Linked DNA regions of Stegostoma tigrinum. The protein of the gene in region 3 interacts with the protein of the main gene of each other region in a pairwise test. Links are inferred from orthologs where the notes say so. Each region holds a gene or a part of one and is shown on either strand. Other genes may lie near its edges. The genes, in order: phostensin-like, enkd1 and probable E3 ubiquitin-protein ligase MID2.

Evidence for each region.
Region 1: the proteins of probable E3 ubiquitin-protein ligase MID2 (region 3) and phostensin-like interact in binary tests that used the Homo sapiens proteins (3 or more experiments, as listed by UniProt). The two-hybrid records come from large-scale screens. The link is inferred for Stegostoma tigrinum from reciprocal best matches to the Homo sapiens genes MID2 and PPP1R18.
Region 2: the proteins of probable E3 ubiquitin-protein ligase MID2 (region 3) and enkd1 interact in binary tests that used the Homo sapiens proteins (3 or more experiments, as listed by UniProt). The link is inferred for Stegostoma tigrinum from reciprocal best matches to the Homo sapiens genes MID2 and ENKD1.

Annotation. Positions count from the first base shown.
Region 1 is NC_081387.1:14,388,279-14,394,202, forward strand, and holds the start of phostensin-like, read right to left. Parts: upstream 3,849-5,924; 5' UTR 1,957-3,848; coding exon 1-1,956.
Region 2 is NC_081393.1:16,157,457-16,163,380, reverse strand, and holds the start of enkd1 (enkurin domain-containing protein 1), read right to left. Parts: upstream 3,391-5,924; 5' UTR 3,343-3,390; intron 830-3,342; 5' UTR 821-829; coding exon 736-820; intron 1-735. UniProt on the Homo sapiens protein: Microtubule-binding protein which regulates microtubule organization and stability. Promotes the stability of astral microtubules and facilitates the proper orientation of the mitotic spindle.
Region 3 is NC_081368.1:43,277,977-43,283,900, forward strand, and holds the start of probable E3 ubiquitin-protein ligase MID2, read left to right. Parts: upstream 1-2,521; 5' UTR 2,522-2,615; intron 2,616-5,924. UniProt on the Homo sapiens protein: E3 ubiquitin ligase that plays a role in microtubule stabilization. Mediates the 'Lys-48'-linked polyubiquitination of LRRK2 to drive its localization to microtubules and its proteasomal degradation in neurons.

The DNA.
Region 1 (5,924 bases), on a different chromosome or scaffold from region 3:
CCCTCGGCTCACGCCAGACTTGACCAGGCAGGACCTCTGCAGCGTCAGGTAGCCACCGATCACCTGGATCTCCTCGGCCGTCGGGTACCGTTTCTTTGCCGGGGCCGCGGGCAAGCCAGCGGGGGGTGGCGTCCCCAAGATGCCGTTCTCTGTTGTCGCGGCGTTGCCAGGAGACGGGGTCTTGTTGGCTGCCATCTTGCGGGGGTTGATGGTGATGGTTCTCCCTGACTTGCGCTGGGGGCCGGGAGAGAAGGTAGGCCGCTGCCTCCCCTCGCCATCCTCCAACACCGCCTCGGGGCCTGGCCTTGAGGGCGTGGACGACAGGGTACCCTGCCGCCCCCGCCCTCCGTCACTTGCGCCCTCTGTCTCCCGGGCGACCACTCCCCCACCCCCTCCTCCATAGCTGGCTCGGACAGGGAAGGCCGGAAGCCTGGTTTCCCGGGGGCCCACAGTGGGAGGCTGCGGCCCGCTCATGTTGCTGCTGGGCCCCCCCTGACTGGTGTCTGGATCTGGCCCGGGCTCGGTGAAGGGGGCCCTGTCCAGGCCTAGCTCAGGCGTCCCACCCTGTGGTCCAGGATCCCCAGTGCGTCTCTGGTCTGTTGCCGCACCAGCAGTAGCAACAGCAGGAAGGCAGGAAGCTGTAGGGGCCTGCTCTGCACAGGAAGAGGAAGCCACATTGACAGGCTGCTGTGGCCTGGAGGAGCCGAGAGTGTTTACATCGTTGGGGGAGGGTGGGTCGGGGAGGAGGACGGAGGCTTTGGCCTCCTCCTCCTCCTCCTCCCCCTGCTGCTGCTTGGAGGGTGCAGCCTGGCCATCAACCAGAGCCTGGGCCTCCCTGGGTTCAGCCTTGCCGTCCCTCACTATGCCGGGGCCTGGATCTGGATCCCACCTCCCGCTGCCCAAACAACCAGGCCTGAGGCGTCCTCCTCCCCCTCTTCCTCCTCCCCCTCCTCGTCCTCCCTCCCCAACCATCCCCTGGGACCCTGGCCTAGCGGGCTGGGCCTCCTCCTCATTGGCGGCTCGGCTGGGTGTCTCTGTCGCCAACCAGGCCTCGAAGCGGCTGCGGGAGGTGGAGACCGTGCGCGGAGGGGAGGTGGTGGGGGGAGAGCGGGACTGGGGCCTGCGTCCTTGGCGCGGGGCGTGAGGGCTCCTCGGTGGGCCAGAGGATGCCCCTGAGCGTCCCGGGCGCTCCAGGATGTTCTCGGTGCTGCGGGAGCGAGAAGGCCGTGCCGCAAGAGCCTTTGTCTCCTCCCCCACCCCGCCATCTCTGGTCGCCCAGGTGCGCCCCTGCTGGCCGAACCTGCACAGTAGCCGGCTGACCCGCCCACGTTTGGGGCCCTCCTCTCCCAACTCCGCTCGGCACTTCCCAAAGGAGTTCAGATCCTCCACACTCCTGCTCAAGGGGGAACGGAGGTCAGGCCGACATGCCCCCTGCTGGCCGGCCAGGCCATTCACACTCGGCAGCTTCTCACTGGTGCCCGGGAGCCTGGGCCCGGATTCAATGATGGTGATGTCGTCTGCCTGTATGATGGTCACCCCTGGGGTGTGACAGATCATCTCGGTCCCTGGGACACCCAGAGGGGCCTGCTCCAGCTCCGAACCTCCCTTCCTCTGCTTCTCCCGCTGGATAAAGTGATTCTGGCGCAGGGGCCCAATGTTCTCCCGCAGCACCACGCTGTCTGTCGCCGTGGCAACGCAGGCCTCAGGCTCTGTCCCATCAGTCCCAGCCTTGGCTGCAGAGCCCATCGGGCTAGACCCAGCCTGACCCTCGGCCTGTATTTCCAAAGACGATGACCCAGGGCACAGCCTGGCCCGCCTCCTCTCGATGATCTCCCTCTTCCAGGCCGGAATTCTGGCCAGCCTCTCCTGTTCTTCCTTCTCCTTGCGCCTTTCCTCTTCCTCATCCCTTCTCTTCCTCTCCAGCAGCTGAACCTTCCACTGAGGAGGAGACGTCATTGTGGAGTTTCAGCCCAGTCACTGGTGGAAAGTGAAGGGGTCAAGCCTGCCCCAGTTCTGGTCACTAAAACCTGCTCCACCCACCCACGACTGACTTCACCCCTGGGTCACCCTGTCTCACTGGGAAATCGACGGGGTCTCAAAGATGGTGACCTTCAGACAATGCCATATGGGACAGAGCAAGATCCAGATCTATGGCCAAACACCAAATCTTTCACCCTGAGACATTACAGACACTCAAAACACACACTCAATACTCAACTCGCACACTCAATACCCAACACTCAGACCCTCACACTCAATACCCAACACTCAGACACTCACAATCAGACCCTCACTCAATACCCAACACTCAGACTCTCACTCAATACCCAACACTCAGACCCTCACAATACCTAACACTCAGACCCTCACACTCAATACCCAACACTCAGACCCTCACACTCAATGCCCAACACTCAGACACTCACAATCAGACCCTCATTCAATACCCAACACTCAGACCCTCACTCAATACCCAACACTCAGACCCTCACTCAATACCCAACACTCAGACACTCACAATCAGACCCTCACTCAATACCCAACACTCAGACCTCAATCAATACCCAACACTCAGACCCTCACAATCAAACCGTCACTCAATACCCAACACTCAGACCCTCACTCAATACCCAACAGTCAGATCCTCACTCAATACCCAGCACTCAGACACTCACAATCAGACCCTCACTCAATACCCAACACTGAGACCTCACTCAATACCCAACACTCAGACCCTCACAATCAGACCGTCACTCAATACCCAACACTCAGACCCTCACAATCAAACCGTCACTCAATACCCAACACTCAGACCTCACTCAATACCCAACACTCAGACCCTCACTCAATACCCAACGCTCGGACTCTCACTATCAGACCCTCACATTCCATACCCTCAGACCCTGACACTCCGACCCTTGGGAGCACACAGCCAGCAGTTCACCCACCGAAGCCATGGTCAGGTACCCCTGCGCACCTCATGGGAACGCTCAGGTCCCCATCTGCCCCAGGATAGATCCCTCCTTCTCTCTGGATCAGGGAACTCCTTCTGTCCGTACCGGGATAAATCCTTTGACAGGGAAACTCCACGGTCTGTCCCAAGATAAATCTCTCTGTCAGGGATAAGCCTTTCTCTCGATCCTGGGAATAAGTCGCGCTCTCTGTTCTCGGGATACGGCCTCCTGTCTATCCCTACCTCCGTCCCGGGGATGACAGTCTATCCTGGGATAAATCTCTGTCTCTGTGCTCCCATGGGGTCGATTCCAGGCGGGAGGGAAGGCGATGGTGATGTCTCCCGGGTCAGACACTCCGCTGTCCCGGGACAGTGCTGGGTCCTGGGTGCCGCCCCGGCTTCCCGAACAAAAGGAGCGGCTCGGGGTGGGTGTTCCTGACCGCCCGGAGGCTGCGGATCCCGGGGCGCGGGGGGGGGACTCTCCCCGCTGGCGAGCTCTCGCTCGGGATTTGAAGCTGCCTGCGGTGGTGGGGTCCGACGGGGGATCCCGTAATCTCCCCGGGACTGGGAACCCGCTGCTGCTCACGGTGACTGAGTGTGTGTGTGTTCGAGAGAGAGAGAGAGCATCCGGGAGAGGGCAGGAAACAGAGAGAGAGAGAGAGAGAGAGAGAGACGGGGGAGGGAGAGAGAGTGTGGGGCTGGGACTAGGGGTGAATGGACAGAGAGGTAGAGAGAGCGCGAAGGCAGAGAAAATAAAGTGAGACTGAATGGAGAGAGAATAAAATAAAACGAGGAATGGAGACAGAAAGTAAATGACTGCAGAGGGTGGGAACAGGGAGAGACTTGTAGATTAGAGAGAGGGTCGTGGGGGAGAGAGAGAGAAGGGGGGAGAGGAAGGGTGAAGGGAGACAGTGGGTGGAAGAGAGTGAGAACAAGGTGGGATGGGAGAGAGGGGTTGGGGAAGAGAGAAAGGGGGAAGGGGGGAAGAGAGAAAGGGGGAAGGGGGGAAGGGGAGGGTTGGAGAGAGAGAAGGGGGCTGGGTGGGAGAGAGAGGGGGGTTGGGGGAAGACAGGGTGAGGGAGTGGGAGACAGAGAAAGGGGGTGGGGTGATAGGGAGATAAAGGGGGGAAGGAGAGGGAGTGAGTGGGGTGAGGAGTGTGTGGGGGGAGAGAGTGAGTGGGGGGATAGAGGGTTGGGGGAGAGAGTGAGTGGGGAACAGAGGGTTGGAGGTGGAGAGAGAGAGAGAGAGAGAAAGGAGGTGGGGAGAGAGAGAGAGGGTTGAGGGAATGGGAGTGTAATAAAGAAAGGCCGAGAAGGAAGACAGAATAAAGTGAGACCTGACCGAGAGAAAAATGAGGTGTAGAGAGAGAGACAGCAAATGAAAATAGAGAGGGGGAGCATGTAGACTAGGAAGGGAGGGGAATAGAGAGAGGAGGAATAGAAAGATGGAGATAGAGAACAGGAGAGGAGGGATAGAGAGGCGGGAGTGACAGAGTGAATGGAGCAAGAGTAAATAGAAAGAGGAAATAATGAGAGACAGTGAACAGAGAGACAGGGAATTGAGAAAGGGAGTAGAGAGAGTTACAGACAGAGAGGAAAGAGAAAGTGGAATGGGAAGAAGGAGTTAGAGAAAGGGTCAAGGGAGCAGGCAAAGGGAGGTGGGGAAAAGAGACAGAGAGAGGCACAGAGAGAATTTAGAGAAAGGAATAGGAAGAGGGAGTTAGCGAGCAGGAGAGGAGAGAGAAGATACAGTGAGGGAGAATATAGAGGGAGAGATAGAATGGGGAGATCAGGACTGTCCTCCTGTAGAATGAGAAGGCTTAGAGGAGATCCGATAGAATTGTTCAAAATCATGCAGGGGCTGGACAGCGTTGACAGAGAGAAACTGTACGATTTGTAAAAAGAGATCAAGAAAGACAGGGCACAGATTTGAAGTGACTGGCAGAACAAGCATATGTAAGCATTTGTGGGACGGAAGCACATTTTGAGTTGCATCTGAACTGCAAGTAGCTGGGGGAAACTGGTATTTATGCTGGAACCAAAGTGTGGGGGAGAGCGGAGGTGAGTGTATAGGTATAGATGGAGGTCAGAGAGATGGAGAAAGATATGACAGAGAAATGTAAACAAGAAGATAACAGATAGCTGGCCAGGACAGAAAAAAAGCTGAATAAGAGATCATGCAATCAAAGAGTGAGAACACAGGAGAGCTCTATTGAGAAGTGTACCCGATTGCTGCTCACCTGCAGATGCTGCCTGGCCTGCTGTATTCTTCCAGCGTCCTGTTTGTCTACCTTGGATTCCAGCATCTGCAGTATTTTATGTCTCTAACCATGGGCCTAGGATTACGTGAGAATGGGTGACCGGGCTAAAAGAAACCCATGCTGTCACAGGACTGGGTCTGGCAGTGGGTTAAAAAATGGAAGGCTGGAATCAGGCTCTAAACTTATTTAATTTGACGTTGAGCCCTAGAGGCTGCCGGGTCCCCAAGCAGAAAGAGAGATTTTTTTTTGAGCTTGCGCTGAGCTTCGCTAGAGCACTGCAGCAGGCCTGAGACAGAGCAGGCTAGAGAACACAGCTTGGAGTGGCAGGAAACTGGAAGCTCTGGGTCGTTTTTGCAGTCACCCAGGTCTACATTTTGTCTCCCTAGTGTAGAGGAGATCACATTGTGTGCGGTGAATGTGGTAGACTAGACTGACTGAAGTGGCTGGTAAATCACTGCTTCACCTGGAAGGTATGTCTGTGGCTTTGGATGGTGAGGAGCGAAGGAGTAAACAGGCAGGTGTTGCACTTATGCGGTTGCAGGCCAAGGTGCCATGGGGCTGTGGGGTGGGTGCGGTATTGGGACCGGAGGAGGAATGGACCAGGGTGTCCTGGAGGGAACTGTCCCTGCAAAATGCTTGCAGAGGAGGGGAGGTGAATGTGTTTCCAGTCTTGGCATCCTGTAGGAGGTGATGGAAACGTCAGCGGATGA
Region 2 (5,924 bases), on a different chromosome or scaffold from region 3:
CTAATTTTCCAATGTCAAATCACAAAGTGCCTAATATTTGCTCCAAGATTGTCAAATTCTCAGTTAAACAATTGGTTGAATCATTATATTTCAAGATATCCTGCAAGATTATTGAACGTGTTAAATGTTGTCACAAAGCTCCCTGAGATCACTCACCGTACAACAAACCATGGTCAGGATAATTAATGATAAAACAGTTATCACCTTTTCCCAGTCAAGCTGTGAAATCAATTTTAGGAATAACTCAAAACAAAGGCACAAATCAGAATCAAATAAATATCATATCTGCTATTAATGAGGTACTGTGAAATATTCAATATTGGGCTAATAATTACTGAATATGAATCTGCAGTCACCCATTACTTGCGCCTATTCTCGACTGAATTTCATCCTAGTATTAATAGGATGTCCAATTATTGTAAATATAACAAGCCTTGAAACTTTCAGTTAGATTCCAACTTGTTATTTTCCCAAGTTTCTAGGAGTATACTGCGTCTGCACAACAATTCTGCTTGTGAAGTAACAAGGTAAAGACATTTTTCTTCATTTTGTTCTTTCAGACTTCCTTAATCCACGCATAGATTTCCAGTGCACAGAATGAGCAAAAGCGCAAGGATCATTGCATGCAGAAACACTTCTTTCAACTTTGTTTCATCCCAGATGAGAATAGGAAATTCAACCAACAACGTAAAAGGAAGATGGAAGCACTTCACTGGAAAACAGGTAAAGCCTCACCTGACAGCGGACGCTTGTAGAAATCTGGGAATAGTGTTGGGTCTGGTGGAATGGGACCAGATATCTTGGAGGGACCCTCGGACATCTTGGTTACCTAACAATACAGAAACAGCTATGTCTAAATAGTTTAAGTGAAAAAGGAGGAACATAGGAATAGGAGGCAGCCAGTTAGTCCCTCAAGCCTGTTCTACCATTTAATTAGATCATGTCTGATCTGTGACTCAATTCATTTTCCTGTTTGTTTCCTGGCACTCAAAAACCCTGGCTTACAAAAGAAAATTCCAATTTCTGTGTTGAAAATCTTGATTGATCTCCAGTGTTACCTTTTAGAAGAAAGAATTGAAGATTTATTCAACGCTTCATACAAAACCATATATCCTGATTTCCTGTCTAAATGCTATAATTTTAAGATCGTCCCTTTTTGGTTCCCCAGCAGACATAATATATTCCCTGTAGCAATGTTATTGGACCTACCATCTTGTTATTAATATAAATTCAATTAAAGATTCAAGAAAAACATTTATGCTCAGAAAAGTGAAATTTGAGATTGCATGAAATGATTAAGGTGAATAGGATAGATATATTTCAGAGAAAGACAGATGCATGTATGACGGAGAAAGGAACAGGAAGTCACACTGCTAGGGTGACAGGTGGGAGGAAGGGCATGTGGAGTAGAAATGTCAATGTGAACCTGAAAAAAAAACTTCACTGTAAATTCTAGGTAATTCGACATGTCTTATAGCTTAAATCTCACCTGCGGCACAGGGCCCAAAACTGAATACAATACTTTGAGTGAGCTCTTTACAACTAAAGGATCTGTTCCTCACTATGCTAACTTTAGATAAAGATTTCATTAATCTTGTTGGATTACTTGTAAAACCTGTTGACTAGTTTTGATCTGTGCACATGAACATCACACTCAAATCCTTTGATTCTCCTTAACTCTTAATCTTTGAGTTAGTTGCCTTTTTTGATTTGTCTCTGGATCTAGAGCATCAGTGGAATAATCTGTAGAGACAGCTAACGCACCTAATTTGCTTTTAATTTTAAGTTTTCTCTCTCATTCCCTTCCTGAATAGCAGAGTCATATTTGCTACTCCCCAGTCCACAGGGCCAGTGCTAAAATCTAATAATATTGGAAAATCAAAACCAACACTTCTAATAATTTTGCAGCTCCTCTTTTTAAACCCTATGATGTCTTTACTATTTTAAACTAATTTAGTTCTTTACACTAATTAAACCTTAGGTTTCCAAATATTTTGATTATTCCTCTTATGGCATCCATTATGAAGTCAGGTACAGAAAATATTTCTTTAACATATTGTTACTTTCATTGTAATTTCTCCCGTCTTTGCCTCAATTACATCAATTTTACTTCCACTGATCTCTTCTAGCATTCTTAGAAAAGCTTTTACAAGCTGTTTCCTTGATGGCTTTCTCCCATTCTATTTTCATCCTCTACCACATTTTTGGTCAGGTTTTCCTGATTTTTAAAATCCTCTGGCTCACACCATCCTTTTTGGTAACATTGCAAGCTGCTTCTTTGAATCTAAGACAGCACTATATTAACTTTATTATTGTGCCATAAATGGGAGTGTTTTCCAGTGGTGTTTTATTCCTTGAAGAACTGTACATTCATTGGGAGAAAATAATTCTTACACATTTGTCATTACTTATGTGTTAATATATTTATGTAATTTCCCAATCTACTTTAAACAACATACCACTCTTTACCTGCTAAAGTGACTTTGCCTAATCCAAAGGCCTAGATAATCTGCACCACACTGAAGTTTACTGTGATTTGATCATATCATTCCTTCTCAGAAAACCCTTACAGGACAGTGGTTGTCAAAGGATGGCCCCCACACCAGTGGTTGTCCACAAGGATCTTTCATCCACCAACTAGTTGAAAATGCAACACAATGCATGGGGTCACACAAGGCAACAGGCTAAACTTTCATCTCCATCACTCATGCAACATCAGGCAACCAGACCACTCCCATGCACATAACACAAAATGTCACAAGTGCACACAACAAGTACAATTTATGTCACCAAGAAATTGGATTTTCAACATTTGTGGGGCTAAATGACAAGAGGAATGCAGCTATTTAGCATGGTCCTGCATATCTACTCATTAGCATCTCATCAGAAGCAGTTTAATTCTTCCCATTAATTCTAACGAGCGTTTTTGCAGTGGTAAGCATAGTGGTTAAGGTAGAACCGATGGGTAGGCTAAAGGGTCATTTGACCCTTATAAGGAGCCTTGGCCAACACAGTTCAACAACCCACTCTTCTAACCCTGTTTGATTGCTGGGACTAAAACCTGTTCCCATCTTGGTTCCTTGTGGGAATCAATGCTGGAGTTATTGGGCTGGAAAACACTTTTGCAGTGTGGGCAGAGCCTACTATGGTCAGAATCCAGTGTATCACTGGCGAGACAAGTTGCAATCAGCAGTAGTCTGGTTAGGACTCCCATTTGCTTGGGGAGGAACGGAATACAGGCTGGCATCAGTCAGAGACCTCCAATGTAAGCCCTTAAGGATTCACAATCAGGACCACCGCAGCTGGGAATACAACCAAAAAGCGCAACAGCCACAGGCTCACCTTCCAACTTTCCAACCGTCCCCGGGCATGCGTACGCCACTTTGAATACACGCATACGCAACGTCATTGCGTCACCTCCGTCACCACGGCAACCGCGTCCTTCACGTCGTCCTGCCATAATTCATGCTTTGTAACATTGGCTACTTCTGTCTTTGACTGTCAAAATGCATGACATATCCATTGAGTTTCTATGGGATATTCGTGATCTAATACAGAATCTCACTGGGAATATTAGCATATAGTATTTGGTTTTAGTGTCAACATCAGGGTGTTGTATCAAGTTTCATTGTGCATATCAGCGTACAGTATTATAGGGATAATTAATACTCATGGAGTCTCACCGTGAGTGACAGGGAAATGCTCACTATGCATCAGACACTCTTTTAGTTTCACCTCATGTTATTCTTCATGTTCTCCAAAGGCAGACACTTTCTTGACCCTGGAGACTGAGGAAAAAGGCATTTTCGGCAGGCTTTTAAAATGCAGAATACTCCCAAGCCCAATTATTCATTTCTCATCACACTCAGAAGTTATATTCATCATGGAGGCTAAGCAAGACTAGTTGTCTAGGCGCTATACAATAGATTGTAAGGTCAGGGAGTCATTCATAATATTATTGAATGATCGTGAGTTAAGACAATGCTAAGGCAGGCTGTGCATCATCCATGGGTTGACCGTTTTTTAACCACTTAATTTATTTTACCAGTTGATGTATCTCACCTGCTCACTTCCCCACCACTGTGCCCACTTGGATCCTTACACTGTGAAGCATGTCACACAGAAACATCGTTTGTAAAAGGTCGCATCAGACTTAGACAGAGTAGGAGACACGCTGTTCATTCATTATGTTCTTCTCCATTTTGAATTGATCCGTTAACAACTCCTCATTGTCATGTCAAACACGCAGACAGATTAGCAGATGACAGACTGCACACAGAAATAGAATTAACATTCTGAAAGTCTTTATTTTTGTTTCCATTCCTCTTTAGGTGGTTAAAAACACTGTATATCTTTGGAACAATGTTTCAATGGGTGATTCTTGTACTTCTCCCAAACTGGGAATGGGAGCAGACAGAGGGCCAGATAGTAGTCACATGTGCACCTGGCTATGTGGCACAAGTTTGCCTTGGGTCCTGAATGGTAAGGAAAAACTGTTCAGAGATGGCCATCAGAGAGTGGAATTCAACAAAAATATTTTTGTTAAAAAAAGAGGTTCTAGAAATAGCTAATTTTCTAAATTAGCTATTTTCCCCCAGATCAGCAATGCATTATAGGTAGGGTCATATTGAGAAGTTTCATGGTTCCAACACAGAAAAGATCATACACTATGTTATGAATACAATAAACTGTAAGTGAGACAAACTCATTCTTTACAGTTTCAGATTCCAGTGCAGTATTTTTTGTAATTAAACAAGCCTTTGTTTTTCAAAGAAAGATCACATCCACTGCCTCTTCACAACTCTAACTCAGTCTCCTCCTTTTAGGCACTCCTTAAAAACAAATTCTTCAGCAAATCTTTTGTTCCTCTAATCTAATTTCACCTTGTGTGATTTGGTGACTCATTTTATTTAATAATAGTTTTGTCAGATACATTGAGACATGTCATTTTCAAATCAATGGTGCTATACAAATATGTTGTTTGCACTTCTATGATAGCGGTCCAAACATGATCAATAAGAAACCCATTCCTCCACCCTTTCAAATAAACTGTTGAATCAAAGACTCTCTGCCAAAATATTAATGACGCACTGACATTCCCTGTGCCACAGTACTGAAGGGCATTACTCATGAAGCCCTGCATTGCTAGAGACGCAATGGGAGAATACTGTACTGCTAGAGATTTAGTACTGAGGGAGCACTGTCAGAGTACAAGATAATAAATTGTGAGGCTGGATGAACACAGCAGGTGATGCTGCTGGGCCTGCTGTGTTTATCCAGCCTCACAATTTATTATCTTGGATTCTCCAGCATCTGCAGTTCCCATTATCACTGTCAGAGTACTATCAGCTTTGATAAAATGTTATACTGCCTTAAGTGCAGGATTACCAAATGTGCCAATATTCGGATGAGATATTCAACCAAGGCACCATTACCCCCTCAGAGAAAGGTCCCATGTAAAAGATCTCATGGTACTATGCTGAGGGAAATCAGGGTGTTCTCCCTGGTGACAGTCCAACATTTATCCGTCAACTAATAGCAAATCTGGTCAGTTATCATATTGTTGTTCGTAAGAGGTTGCTGTGCACAAATTGGCCACCATATTTCCCAACACTATAGTGGTGACTACAATTCAAAAATTAGCATTTAAGGCTTCCTGAAGTTTTGGAAGATTGTAAAGAAATAGAATTCTTTCTTTCTTTCCTCAGAATAGACATTTTCCTTCCAGGGGAGCTACAATATATGCTGTAGACTGCCCTCTTCCCCTAGTAACCCTAATGTTAGGTGTCATTCATTTAAGGAATTTGTAAGTGCCTAGCATCTGCTTTATTTATGGCCCTACACTTCCCCTTGTTAGTGTTCTGAACATACATAAATCTCATTCAGTTAAGCTTACTTGAAGGACACTCCACGATCCCATCAAT
Region 3 (5,924 bases):
TTATTTGCATTTTGCTGTATTTTTTCATCAGCTGCTGTGAAAACCCAACACAAAATAATTCCATGTCAATACAGCATAATTTACTGTTTATGTTAATGATTGTCAATTAACATCTAAACACAGAAAGTGACATAAGTATGGAGTCTTGTTCCTTCAGATTTTGAATAAGTTGGGGATATTTTAAAAATGTCAAATTTTTTTAATAAAGTATTTCTTTTCAGTTTCCTTTTCTCTCGTCCTTTCTCTTAATCCAATCTGCTTTCCCTCCCTTTATTTCTCTTCTGTACCTGATTTAATATTGAATTCATCCCTTTTTTCTGCAGCCTCTTTCTCACTCATCCCTGTTATTTTTTCTCAATTCTTAGATCTTATTAGAATGCAGCAAATGTTATCAGTAGCACTTATCAATCAGTTCTCAATGTCTATCTCCCACCGTTATCAGCTTGCACTTTCAACAAAGTTCTAATCAAAACATTTTGAGGTGAAGATTCGGTCTAACTAATTATCTGCTGTTAAGTATCATGTTACATCGAATTTTGGCCTGAAAAACAAACACGCACCTTAAAGACAAAAGCTTTGGTCACCCCTATCTTGTTTCCAATACTTTAATGATGAACTTGCAAACATCTGTTTACATGATTGTAGACTTCCAGGCAGGTCAGGAATGCTCGAGATTGACAATCATTACAAATTCACCCCGACATCTAATCTTTGCTATCTCTTTCAGGCAGTCGTGAGATTCTGAGCCTTCCACCTGCCTATATCCTTGGTAATTTCAGCCCTAGATATACAGAAGACCACTTAGCTGTGTGCAGCAAGATATCTGTTATTGTTTATCTGAGTTAATGAGTTGCATTTGAATGTATTTACATCGGGATTTAGAAAATATAATTTTGCAAGTAGCATATGGCCCTGCATATTATCACCATTTAGGGTGTTTTAAACCCCATACTTTAAAATAACAATAAATCTTTACATTGGCCCCCTTCTCCAATTTCCCCAGCTACTCCCCACTGTCCACTCCCTCTGCTTCACAGCCAATGAATTAACTCATAAGTGCACAACACGAATTAGAGCTGACAGAGGGATAGAGGGCAAGTGCCCAGATTTAACGGCTAGCCTGTACCAACCGAGTTGATCCTACGTGAGGTACTTCAATCAGCACCACTGACCACCAGAAGAGAAACATTCCCACAACAATGTGCAGCTAAGTATGAGAGTAGATATCAGGTCAATGTGCGGCAAATTTGATTGATACTTGTATTGGAAATGGGCCATGTCTGAATGATCAAGCTACAGAAATGATGTAGAACTGTACCTAAATAGAAATCATTTTATTTCTCTCTTTTGTAACATGCCTTTCACGATCTTAAGAAGTCTCGTTGCAATTTACAGACTCGAAGCGCTTTCAATGTATAAACATGGCTATAATTTCGAAGATTGAGCATCCAGCTCTCTCGTAATCAAGATCACATTGGATCAATGTTTGGATAACAAAGTGTGGGGCTGGATGAGGGCCTAGGCCCCAAACATCAGCTTTTGTGCTCCTAAGCTGCTGGTTGGCCTGCTGTGTTCATCCAGCCCCACACTTTGGATTCTCCAGCATTTGCAGTTCCCATTATCTCTGATCACAATGTTTGGGTAATCTGTCTTCTGCTTGGTGACGTTTCAGATAAGTGGGAAGAATTGTCCTCTTCTTTGAAGTAAAACAATTTTTGGGGATCTTTTACATCCACCTGAGAGGGGACGCAGAGTCTCTGATAGCACCAAATAATTTGCAAGACAATACGTCTGACACAACAGAACTCCCTCACCACTTCGGTGAAGTGCTAGCCCACATTATGTGCTCATGTTTCCTCTAAGGGCTTTGAGCCCATGCACTTTTTACTCTGCAGTGAGAGTACCAGTCACAGTAAGTGAACAAGGGCAACATGATCTGGAAAGAGAAATATACATTTAAAACATTAACTTATTAAATCGAAAAAAACTTCCATCCCCATTCGAGCATCACACCACTACAGCCGATTGCTTAAGGCAGTAGAACCTCCTTTTCAGAAAAAAAATTGATTGCAAACAATTTAAGAATTGATTTCCTCTGAGACCATTAAAATGGATGCTTTGTGACCATATATAGCAGCAAGAGAATACCATTGTTTTTTTTCCACAAGCCAGAATGTTTCCAGACAGTTAGATTAATAACACAAAGAATGTTGGTGCTTCCGACAGAGCTCGAATTAGGAAAAGGCAATCAGTGAGAAGGGTGGGAGGATATCCGTGGTCCAGCCAACTGCAATGAAGCAGCATTTTAATTGATCCCAGCTGCTCGTGAGAGGAAAATCATTCTAGCAGCTTTAAATCACGTGTCCCCAAGGAAATGATTCACTGAATCTCTGCTCCTGCCTTGCTATTTGATGATAGGGTTGGGAATGGGGTGGGTGATACATTGAAGCTGAATGAGCATAGTTTGTAAATCTTTGTGAAGAGAGACCGGAACATAGCAAAGGAACTGAACTTCGTTCGCGTTACTGCTAGGAGGCAGCTGACGGGAAAACGATACTGGGAGGGAGTGATTAACACAGATCCTTGGTGAGGAGCGTGCACGCTGACAGATAAAGGTAAGTGGTTTTTTCTTATTAACATAAAGTAAATAACGGAGAAAACTACACCTACCAGTGAGAGAATTGCAGTAGAATGCTGTTTCGGTGATGAAATTATTATTGTGTGCCTAGCTTAAATTCAAATGTCTTGTAAAACGCTTTTTGACGGCAGGTTGCTAAGGGCATATGCAAATATTACTTATGCACTTCTTCAGCCTGGGGTTCTCGAATGGAAAAAATGAGCACTTTTTTTTTTAAAAGACTGGAATTTGATAGTGAGTCAATGTTAGGATTTCTCTTTTTCAGCACCAGTGAAAGAATTATCAAATGAGACAGGATGTTTTGAAGGACAAGTTGGATTTCTCACTTCAACAGCACGGTATTAGTTACAGATCCGTATGGTTGACTGACTTTCTGTATGTTACTAAGTAGTACAAAGACACTTGGGCTGGCAAATCGTGTATCCACAGTTTTGAGTTTTTTTTAAAAATCACCGTTTTTATAGAAAGGGAAGGTAATAATTGAATTTTAATATTGCAAAAGAACTGGTGTGCTTCAGAAATTGCATGTTAGGCTTTCTTATTTTGCTTTTTTTTGTCTCTACTCCATGCCTCTCGAAGGCTTGTTTTAAAGCTCAATGCTGTATGTGCAAGATGTTCTAGTCCTGAGCTGCTACTTAGCAGAGTTGTTTTTCTGTAGCTACATAATGGCTTGAGTGGCAGCAGGGGTTAATATGACTACTTATTACTCAGGGCTGGAAATGCTATGTTGACCCAAGAAAACATAGCCTTGTAGCCAGCCAATAAGCTGGGAAGTTAGATAAATCCACTATCAATCATTGGAGTGGATTGGACACAGTCACAACATTCTTCTTTTTTTCCTTTCCTCTCCTTCTTCTCTTCCTTTCTCTTCTCCCCTGCCCCCCCCCCCCCCCCCCCCCCCCACAATTGAACAATCTTTAAGGCTTGTGCTTAAATGTCTATGTGAAAGACTGCTTTCTTTCACAGAGGGGGAAAAAGCATAGATATAAAAAAACTGCAGGAAATATGAGGTTTGGTTGACCATTTGGCCCTTCAAACCTGCTGGCTCTTGGCTGATCAACCTCAACTGTTTCCCTTCTATTCCAAATATCCCTTAAGCGGTGCCCACACTGTGTAGCATTGAATATATTCAATAATTTTGTGCAAACAGTGCAGCTGAGAATTCCAAGTATTCATTACCCTCCTGACGGAGGCAATTTATGCTCTTGGCACTGCTAAATCTGCCTGTTTTTCTGAGACTGTCCTTCCAGTTAAATGCATTAAGCTATGAACTTACCTTGTCAAACACTTGAAGAATTTTCTCATTTAAAACCCACCCTGCATAGTACTTAATTTGCTATCCCTGAGATTTCCTGTAAATGGTCATTCCAACTGAAAGATGGGTGTGAGGAGCATTTGTCCCCAAGTAAAAGTCCTACTGTAGAAGATGTAACAAATAATACATCCTCTGTTTTCCATCCCAATGTAGGAAGTGCGGAAGTTACTCTTTTGGGAGGTGGGAATCCTGGTGGTGATGACTTTTGTAACTGAGGGTTGCTGTCCATTGTTAGTGGTGAGATGCATGTGTAACTGCAATGGGATAGAGATGATGGTTGCTCTTGCCCTTGTGGACCATATGTGTTTATTGATGTTGATATTTCTGGATGTCCCTTATGACACAGGACATGGCCACTGAGCCAGGTTGGCTCAGTCCATTGGCGTGGCCTCGTTTGGCAGTCAAAGGAGGAGACATTTCTGGATTGCACTTGTGTGCACTGGAATGCAACTGAATTTTAAATATGGGACCAGAGGTCAATCCTTTGTATTGCTCACCATTTCACTTCTCCCTGTTTTAGTTGCATAATTAGGTTGAAAAAGTGAAAACTGCTTCAAAGAATTTGCTCTGGAATGTGACAGAACACATGTCATGGAACTCACCACAATATTGTAGCTACCAATGAAGTTTCAGCCTAAAGAATGAATGGGGTTGGGAGTTTCTACTGAAAGAGAAGAATGGTCAATAGTATGGTTTTTCTGCAGGGGGTGGGGGCTGCAGATGCAGGACAAGATAAAACCCTTTAGTGTTTTTGAGGTCCTGATCTATGGCACTTTGCCTGGACAAATGATGGAATGGGCACTTAATTTGGAGTTAAAATGGCTGGCCATTCATAATTGAGTAAATGCATGTTGGCACTTCAAAAAAGCATGAACAAAACCATCTTGTGGAATTTAGATTTAGCTAAAATTGTTTTATTTCAATAAAGCCTTGCATGTTAACACAGTGAGTAAATGGGGGTGGTGATCTGCCCAAACTTGGAATATGAGGCTTCCTCCATTCATTCAAATCCTGATCTCTTTCTGCACACTGCTTCATTTCTGAAGCACGTACAGAGGAAAGGATGGAAACTAACAAGTGTCACCTTCTAGAACTAGTGAGGTGGTAGAAGCACAGTATGTCAGTCAAGGGCAGAGTGAATCCTAGGACAAAAGCCTCATCTTTCCCTTTCTGTTCAAGAGGAACAAGATAATTTAATCACTTATCACAAACCTTATCCTGTGTATTTATGTCTGCTGTCAGCTTTTCTGTAGTCTGAAAGCCAATGACCACTTCACTCTATCTTGGATCATAGAATCTCTACAGTGTGGAAACAGACCATACCTCCCTCTGAGGAGCACCCACCCAGAACCACCACCCGCTTCCTTCCCTACCTTCTCAAATGAGAATCAAAGGTTCCTATAGAAAGTTGGTTCAATGCCTAAGAGCTAGGGAAGACATTGCTTGGGCCCCTTGCTGAGATGCTTCCACCATAGACTGCCACTTGTGAGGTGCTGGAAGATTTGGATGTTGGCAATTGTGGTGCCATTCATCAAAGCAAGTGAGGAAGGAAAAAGAACTAGGACTCATGAGACTGACGTCAGTGGCAGGCAAGATGTCTTTCTAACTTGATTGTTACTTCAAAAAGGCTCAGGATTGAGTGCAGAGTGGTGGATATTGTCTATATGGACTTCAGAAAGGTGTCTACAGTTCTGCCTGGTAGACCAATTAACAAGTTTCACCTGGAATACCAGGAGAACTAGCTACTAGGCAATAAAATTGCCCATATGGTGGTGGTAGATGGTTGTTTTTCAGACTAGTAACACGTGACCAGTAATGTTGCATGGATTGGTGTTGAGTCTGCTGCTTTGGCCATTTTTAAGTGTATAAAAATGACTGGATGTGAATTTAGGAAGTCATATTAGTAAATTTGTCAAAAATGGACATTGAAGAAGGTTACCTTAAGTACAAAAAGTTGGAAAAGCTCAGCAA